2 linked regions of the Solanum lycopersicum genome follow. Each later gene encodes a partner of the first gene's protein in a complex. Links are inferred from orthologs where the notes say so. Each region holds a gene or a part of one and is shown on either strand. Other genes may lie near its edges.

Region 1 (3,926 bases):
TTGTCGAGTTAATAAATAAGATTATGACATGTGTATGTTTGTTAATATAAATAATATAGATACTCTAGCTTTTGAACCATAGAAGCACTAATATCCCAAAAATATAACAAAAATTATCTACATATCATATACAATAATTCAAAGATATATTTATTATTTTTCCCTAATTAAAAATATTTTAACTTTTGAATTCTCAATCGATTAACTACACAAATATGTAATTAAGGGTGTGCACTATTTGAATTAAATCGAAAAACCAAACCAAACCAAAGAAAATTCTAATTTGGATTGATTTTTTGGATTCTTGGTTTGATTTTGGATTTATATTTATTTTGTTTGATTTTTTAGTTCGATTCCGAATTTAGAAAAATGAAAACCAGAAAAACCAAATTTTACATATATATATATATATAAAGACATAAAGACATTCAATATCTTTGTGAATGAGTCATTTTGACCCATTCCTTAGTCTATGTAATTGTGCGTGTTGCTCACTCACTATGACAAAATTCAATCCCATCGACTCTATTCTTTGAAGAAAAGTCATCTTCTCTTTTGGGATGGGGCGGGCTTGTTGCTATTCAGAGTGGACGGGCGACACATATTTGACGGGAGGATATCAGTCTTTTCAGGTTAAGAAGGAGGAGGAAGGCTTGGGGTCTGATCCTGAATTTATGCAGTTTGTTATTGGCTATTGAACTTTTTTTCTTTTTAACATAGTAGCTTTTGCTTTTCGTGATCTTACTCAATTTGTATTCGTAGTGATTCATGCAGTTGAGTTTAACCTTTGTTGAATTGGAGTAAGGAATGGATAATCAATGAAAAGTCTCCTTTTTTTTCCAACCAAGGAAAATGACGGGACAATCCTAATTGCAAAGTAGAGTGATTCCTATACTCAAATGATCATTCAACTATTCTATTTTAATGATTAAGGACAACGTATGATGATGAAGTCATCAAACCAACATTGATTTTGCTATGAAAAAAATCACGAAATCAAAAAATTAGGGCTATCAACTACTATTTTGGGTTTAAATTTGGGGAAGATGACATAAATTAATCAAATAATTAATAATAAAGAAAAAGATAACATGTGGCACGTTTAAATTGGTCCATGACAGTGAAAATATTGCATGACGGGCCTCATGTGCGTGATAACAACCTAGACGAGGGAATGAGTCAAAATGACCCATTTACAAATATATTAAATAGTTCAATGGGGTGATAGGACACTTTGAAAGTTAAAGTGTCTTTATGAAAGTATGAGACAACTTTGGTGTCTTTATGTCTTCTGTAAAATTGCAAATAGAACTTTGTTATGTTTCAAATTAGTGACATAACCCATTGATCAAACTGAAAAAATTCTAATTAAAAAGAGAAAAATCAAACCAAATCAAATTTATTTGGTTCAAATTGAGTTACACTTCTTCAAAAATAAAAATCAAAACTTAAATCGAATAGTACAAAATCAAACCAAAAAACTGAATGCGCGCCCTAATAAAGTTTTTTTCTTTTGCCAAGTCAAATATAAGCAAAACCAAAACCAAAACCAAAACCCTTCTATTTTTATTTTTTTCAGCAAGTACTTGTGAACCGGGGGGCTCACTATTCCGGTCCAAGGGATCACGATGTAAAATACCAAATTAATCCTCAAACCTCAGTCTAATTCAACACTTTTTTCCAGTCGCAACAAGCTAAACAGAAGAGGGATAACAAAGAATACGAGAACAACAATGGCGTCGGCGTTGAGATCTGCTATACTCCGACACATCCGGATTCCGGCAACCCAAGCTGTATCGGCAAATGGATTGAGGCTAACCGCTGTCAGATTGATGTCGTCGCACGATGACCATATCACCAAAGATGAAGTCATCAAGAGAGTCCTTGATGTCGTCAAGTGCTTCCCTAAAGTCGACCCTTCCAAGGTATTTTTTCCTCTCTTTTATTTTGATTTATTTTATATACACATTTGATGAATCGAATTAGATCTGAAAAATCCGTCTGCAAGTTCAATCAATGGTCTATTTGTATCGTAGATAGCTGTTTATTGGTCTAATTACTTGGCCGATAGGTGCTCAGCTCTGGTTGGACATATATGATATTCACTGGTAAATTGATTGGTATTTAGGGTTTCGTTTAGCAATAGGCTTCTTTTTGAGCTTTGAGAATCCGTGAAAATAGGTACTATATGTTTTTCAAAATGATATGGGTATCTTTTTACTGGACATGAAACAAAGTGAAATATATTTAGTGTTATAAAATGGTATGGTTACCTATTTAACGCCCAAAAAGGAAGATTATATAGGCATTGGCTTATGGAAATAACAACAACATCAATCCGAAGGTAATCGGGTCACCTATATGATTAAACACTGTCATATTATCAAATTATATAGCTATTATCTCCTAGCACAGCACAAGAATAAGAGGAGAATATTAAAAGAAAATATTGGTGTCCATTGCAATTTTAGTGTAACATTGTCACTCAAAAAGCTTAATTGTGTGATCTTTGTCTGAGCAGATTGCGAATGGAACTAGAAGTTGATCCTCTTTCTTATTTTTCTAGTTTCTTGTAAGGTTGGATGTCAAATGTTAGTCGTAGCTCTAAGCGACTTTGAGACTGGAAAACAAGTAAACGAGAAATTTCTCATCCACTGAATGCTATGTTCTGAACTTAAACTGAATAATTATTTACTTTTCATGAATTCCAATCGAACTTAGTGTAATTTGATTCAGTAGAAGAGAACTCATCTACCTATTAGATGATCTTTGCTCTAAAGTGTTAGGTTATGACACCTTTCGCTGCCCCCCCCCCCCCCCCCCCCTTTTTTTTTCTTTTTTAAAGATACGTCAATTAATTGGTTTAATGAACGAAAACAAGGGAATATAGGTTTATAACTTAAAAAAGGTAGAATTTAGAACAGAGGATGCACATAATTTCATAGTATCACCAACCAGGAAAGCTTCCAACACAGAAGTTTTTGTTTAGTATATTTAAGATTAAATTTGGGAACAAATTGTAGAGAACGGGAAATATTTTGGGTCACAATGGACTATAATTTTGTTCATTGAAGTTTGTTCCATTAGGAAATATTAATCTGAAAGATGAATAAGATGCTTTTAGAGTTCTATTGCAAGATGTGTTGGGTGGTAAGTGTCTGTCAAGGACTCCAAAATTAGGTCCAGGAATGTTTCAGCAGGCACTTATGCCTCAATGACGTGATATCAAAATTTATTCTACTACTTTCTTTGCCTGTCGAGCTTGTTACTTACTGGAAAATGCTTTTGCTGGCCCTCATTTCGCCTTCACATGATGAACAATGTCAAGTTGGTTCTGTAGAATTGCAACCTGGGTTTGCCAGCTGTTTTTTAGCTTTGTTGGGTGTTTGTCAGTGATAATGCATATATCTTGTTCAGAATACGACTTACCTTTTGATGACTTTTGCTTTCGCATCTCTGATCTCCATAACCGTTTTGAAGTCCCCGTAAAACAATTCAAGATTTAGTATCTTTAGAGCTCCATGCCTGGGATAAAGAGTTTGCTAATGTGATCTATGTGGTGAGAAGTTATTGACCTCTTTCGTCATCATTGTGTGACTGATCTTTGGCGAGATAAAAGATATGAGAGGGAGTCATGGGAGTGCAAGGGATGGGTTTGGTATATTGGTAATATAGGGGTGCGAGTGGAGAAGTGCGGCAAATGTGCAGGTTCAATGCAAATGACCTCTCTCTCTCTCTCTCTGTAGAAGGGTCTTCTTCTTGTAAGACAAAAGTAGAAAAAAACTAACTATTACCATATATTTTCTTCATATTCTAAGCTAAAAAGAATAGATAAGGTTTTACCAAAAGAGCATCAACTTTGACACAGTAGTATCCTAATCACTGTTATAAGTTGGTCTGCATAAGAATCCAGCTAGTATTGGGCA
Region 2 (3,926 bases), about 14 Mb from region 1:
GCTAATATGATTCATTATCATTTTTATTCAACAGCCTCAAAGCTCTTAGACGCGAGAGAAGTATGCTCTGTCGGCTCATATATAAAAAGTTACCAGGAGCTGAAAGAAACGAAATATACCAGAAATGGGGCATAAATTTGAACTCCAAAAGGAGGAGACACCAACTGGTTCATCGTCTTTGGAATGACACAGATCTGAATCATGTGATAGATAGTGCTGCCATTGTCGCGAAGCTGATTGGGTTCTCTGACCAGGGTCCGGCCCTCAAGGAGATGTTTGGGCTTAGCATTACACCTCCTCCGAGGAAGAGCAGGAGATCTTTTGGCTGGAAGAACAGTATGTCATCCCTTCTCTGAGCTTTTTGAAAGTTCGGTAGCAAAAGAAGGATATAGGTGAAATTAGCAATAGTCTTATGATGAATGTAATTGGATTGGATACATGTTGCCAATTCACTGATTTAGAGGATTGATGAATAGTTTCTTTTATTAGTTTGCTTAAAGTTTGTACAATACTACTCTGGGGAATCAATTATAATTTTTTGCTTCATATTTGATAGTAATAGATAATGTCCTTAACAATCTAAATCTGGAATTGGAGAAAGTGTTCAAGTAATTCTTTTGGCATATGATATTATAAAACCAATTACTTGTAAGCTGTACCTATCTATACAAGCCATAAATTGGCGATTACCAGAACCAGTTAAATGACATAGCAAGTCTACAATTTTTTACACCGTTTATCGTGTCATACAATAGATTTGCAAGAATTTTAGCTATATTTTTCTTTATTAAATTCTGTAGTCTTTGGAACTTTGATCCATTTAAAATATTACCTCTCATTAAAATTAAAGAGCGATCTTATTCATTCCATCACAATTATTTATCAAAAAATTATTTAATAATTACTTATCATGCATTTTGATTTTTTTGGTGAATAAAATTAAATTGATTTTAGGCCTAAATTTGAAATAAGCGTATCAAACTGTGTAACTACGTTTAATTATATCAAATTTCATCTTTGTCTCTTTCCAAACAAGCCTTAATTACAATATACATCTTTCTTAATTATTCTTATTTTCCATTCACATTTCTTCAAAGTTGATACCAACTTAACTAGCTTGTAATAGATCATATGTCATTATTCAGAAGCACTAACCTAATTAAAATAACATAATAATTATTTTTAACAAACCACCAATAAGACAAATGAAAATGAAAAACCTTATAAATGAAAAGGTATGTTGTGGAACGACGTCGTAGGAAGTAGTTCTGAATACAAAGATCCAGAAAGGGGGAGAGAGCTCTGAGTAAACCAAAGGGAGAGAGATTGAGAAAGCGATGAGCGGAATAGCATCGGTATCGTTCTTAGCTCGAAGAGCATCGCAGAGGGAGAGGGTTCGGATCCTCTACAGGCGTGCTCTCAGAGACACTCTTAATTGGGCCGTCCATCGTCATCTCTTCTATCCTGATGTAAAAATGTTTATCCCAATTCCTAGGGTTTCTTCCATTGATTCGTTTTTTCCACATTTCCTTCATTCGATCTCTATGTGTTCTTGTTTTTAGTTATATATAACTGGTGATTCGTGTTATTGATTAATTTATTTGTTTGTTTGTTTGTTTGTTTTCAGGCGGATGCCCTAAGGGAGCGATTTGAGGTCAACAGAAAAGTGGTTTGTTTTTATTTTCCTTCTTCTTATCCTTTTTATGCAACTTTTCATTTTTCTGATAAGGATTATATGGTTTTAGCTTGATGTTGGGAGTGAAGTCTGTATGTTTTAGTGTTATACAGAGCGACTTGTTCATGTGTAATTTTTTAATTGTGTATGTTTATCAAAAAAACAATAAAAGTTCACATTTAGTGTACTATCAAATAAAATGCTGAAGTATTAATTAGTGTTGAATACAAGTAGTGATAGAAGTATTTGTGAAGGGTAAAATAAAAATTATTTTAGACTGTATGAGTCCTGAAGTGTTCATTTCATTCTTCTTTTCCTTGTTTTTGTTGTGATTTGTTTGTGTACTAGCATATTTTTGGAGTATACAAATTGGCATTTGCTGGTGGTATCATATGTGTTTAGTTCGATATTTGGACATGATATGTTCTGATCATATGTGTTTCGAAAAAAGAATTCACCTTTGTCATGCTCAATTCGTATTTGATGCACAAGTGATACTGGAAACAGTGTGAGGTCAATGTTGCAGATTCTGTTATATAGTAAGAACAATTAGTTACGGATTGGTTTTGGTTCAATTAGTAACTTTCTGGGATTGAGTATTCTGTATTAAAGTTCTTTATGGATAATGAAAATTTACGCTGCTTTCATCTTAGTGATGGCTAATTTCATGGCCAAATGACTGAGCATCTGCGTTCTCTTTTTCAACAAGTGAAATTGTAATTCTGTAGTAACATATTTTGCATTATGTTTTTTTCTTTTTTGTAGTTTTATCTTTTAAGTTCATTTTATTCTGTCTTGGTTTGTTAACATTCAGGAAGATGTTGAAACTATTGATAGACTTATAGCTGATGGTGAAGCATCCTACAATAAGTGGCGGCACCCTGATCCTTACATTGGTATGTTTCTTTATGATTTTTGTATCAAACAACTGCACTTCGATCCCAAGCAAGTTGAAGTTTGCTATATGAATCCTCACTGTCTATGTATTCTTTGTGAGTTTTTCGCTATTAATAAACTGGATTTTCAATCCAATGAACCACAAAAATGTTAAGGATATGTCGGAGTCTGTATTATATGAGATACAGGTTTTGAACTGAATTAGGACCCCCCAGGGTGTGGGTTTTGGTCTAGTGGAGAGAGAGCAGCTTGTACTGTGTGGGGTTAGGCGCATGTCACAGATTAAAGCCTGGTATTTTAAATTATAAAAAAAATGGCTGGTATTTTGAGTGAAGGGTAGGATGGAGCCCATTTTCCACTGAATTTCAAAATGTCACTACTGGCAAGCAGGGATTTCTCAGCCATCAACAAGAAGCCTTGAAATTATAGCCGGCATAAGTTCTGTTGAAATCTTTCACATCTTCCCAACTGTTAGGGGTGCTAAGTTCTTAGACCTAGGGAGTATTGTTTTTTCATATGAAAAAAGACTGCCTCTAATGATGAAATGTCTTGTGGATCACGAGAAAAAAAGGAAGAAAAGAAAAATATCTGCAGGATATGTCTCATCTAAATTTTTATCTATGTTGAAGTTTGTAGATGCTAATTGATAAGTGATTACCTTAAGTCTTGTCCTACTTACCTTTGCATGTTTCCTTGTTGGATTGTGTGATGATCTTTTTTGTTCATACAACTTTTGTCAAATGTTAACAAGCAGTAAACAGATTGCCTTTATAATTTTTTTTAATGTGAAGTATTAGTTTTTGAAAGGATAGTCTTTTGATTTTTTGACACACTTCGGAAATGTGGTAAATTGTGGAAATATGAAAAGTTGAGTGAACTATTTTATGCTTTAGACTTCTGGTAATAGTTTGTCTTTCAATGATGAGCAGTTCCATGGGCACCTGGTGGTTCCAAGTTCAACAGAAATCCAGTGCCGCCAGAAGGGGTAATTTGCTTAGACATTTATTTACATCACGGACAATGTTTCAGTTTATGCTAGTTGCTTTAGCCATTTACTTTCCTGTTTCGTCAGTTTTTGCAACCATCAGGAGTACTCTTCAACTGTTAATTTTTCTATCTGTTGACAACTTGCTAATTCATTCTTCTTTAAATGTCATGACATGTGAAGATCTTTATTTTCTCATCGTGATTTGCTATCTGACATTTTATCCTTATTGTCCTACATTTATATGACTACAACGGGTGGTTTATGCCAATTATATTCACAACTTAAAATAGTTAAAACTGTCAAAGAGGGAGCTTATCAAAAAGATGTCACATCAACATCATAGGAATACGATGTCATACTTGGTTG

Evidence for each region.
Region 2: the proteins of acyl carrier protein 1, mitochondrial (region 1) and NADH dehydrogenase [ubiquinone] 1 beta subcomplex subunit 9 are in contact, whole or in part, in a cryo-EM structure (PDB 8BEH), measured with the Arabidopsis thaliana proteins. The link is inferred for Solanum lycopersicum from reciprocal best matches to the Arabidopsis thaliana genes MTACP-1 and CIB22. Residues at the interface, in NP_181990.1 of Arabidopsis thaliana: Asp78, Ser79, Leu80, Asp81, Val83, Glu84, Val86, Met87, Glu90, Glu91, Lys94, Leu95, Glu96, Ile97, Asp99, Lys100, Ala102, Asp103, His118, Met120; in NP_567970.1 of Arabidopsis thaliana: Glu18, Arg21, Ile22, Tyr24, Arg25, Arg26, Leu28, Lys29, Leu32, Arg38, Phe41, Arg49, Phe52, Asn53, Tyr84, Ile85, Val86, Pro87, Trp88, Ala89.

What each region holds. Positions count from the first base shown.
Region 1 is NC_090800.1:79,120,321-79,124,246, forward strand, and holds the start of acyl carrier protein 1, mitochondrial, read left to right. Parts: upstream 1-1,496; 5' UTR 1,497-1,733; coding exon 1,734-1,925; intron 1,926-3,926. UniProt on the Arabidopsis thaliana protein: Carrier of the growing fatty acid chain in fatty acid biosynthesis. May be involved in the synthesis of short and medium chain fatty acids.
Region 2 is NC_090800.1:93,192,563-93,196,488, forward strand, and holds the start of NADH dehydrogenase [ubiquinone] 1 beta subcomplex subunit 9, read left to right. Parts: upstream 1-1,084; 5' UTR 1,085-1,337; coding exon 1,338-1,469; intron 1,470-1,627; coding exon 1,628-1,669; intron 1,670-2,489; coding exon 2,490-2,571; intron 2,572-3,501; coding exon 3,502-3,557; intron 3,558-3,926. Other genes in the region: kinesin-like protein KIN-7E, read left to right, coding at 35-356. UniProt on the Arabidopsis thaliana protein: Accessory subunit of the mitochondrial membrane respiratory chain NADH dehydrogenase (Complex I), that is believed to be not involved in catalysis. Complex I functions in the transfer of electrons from NADH to the respiratory chain.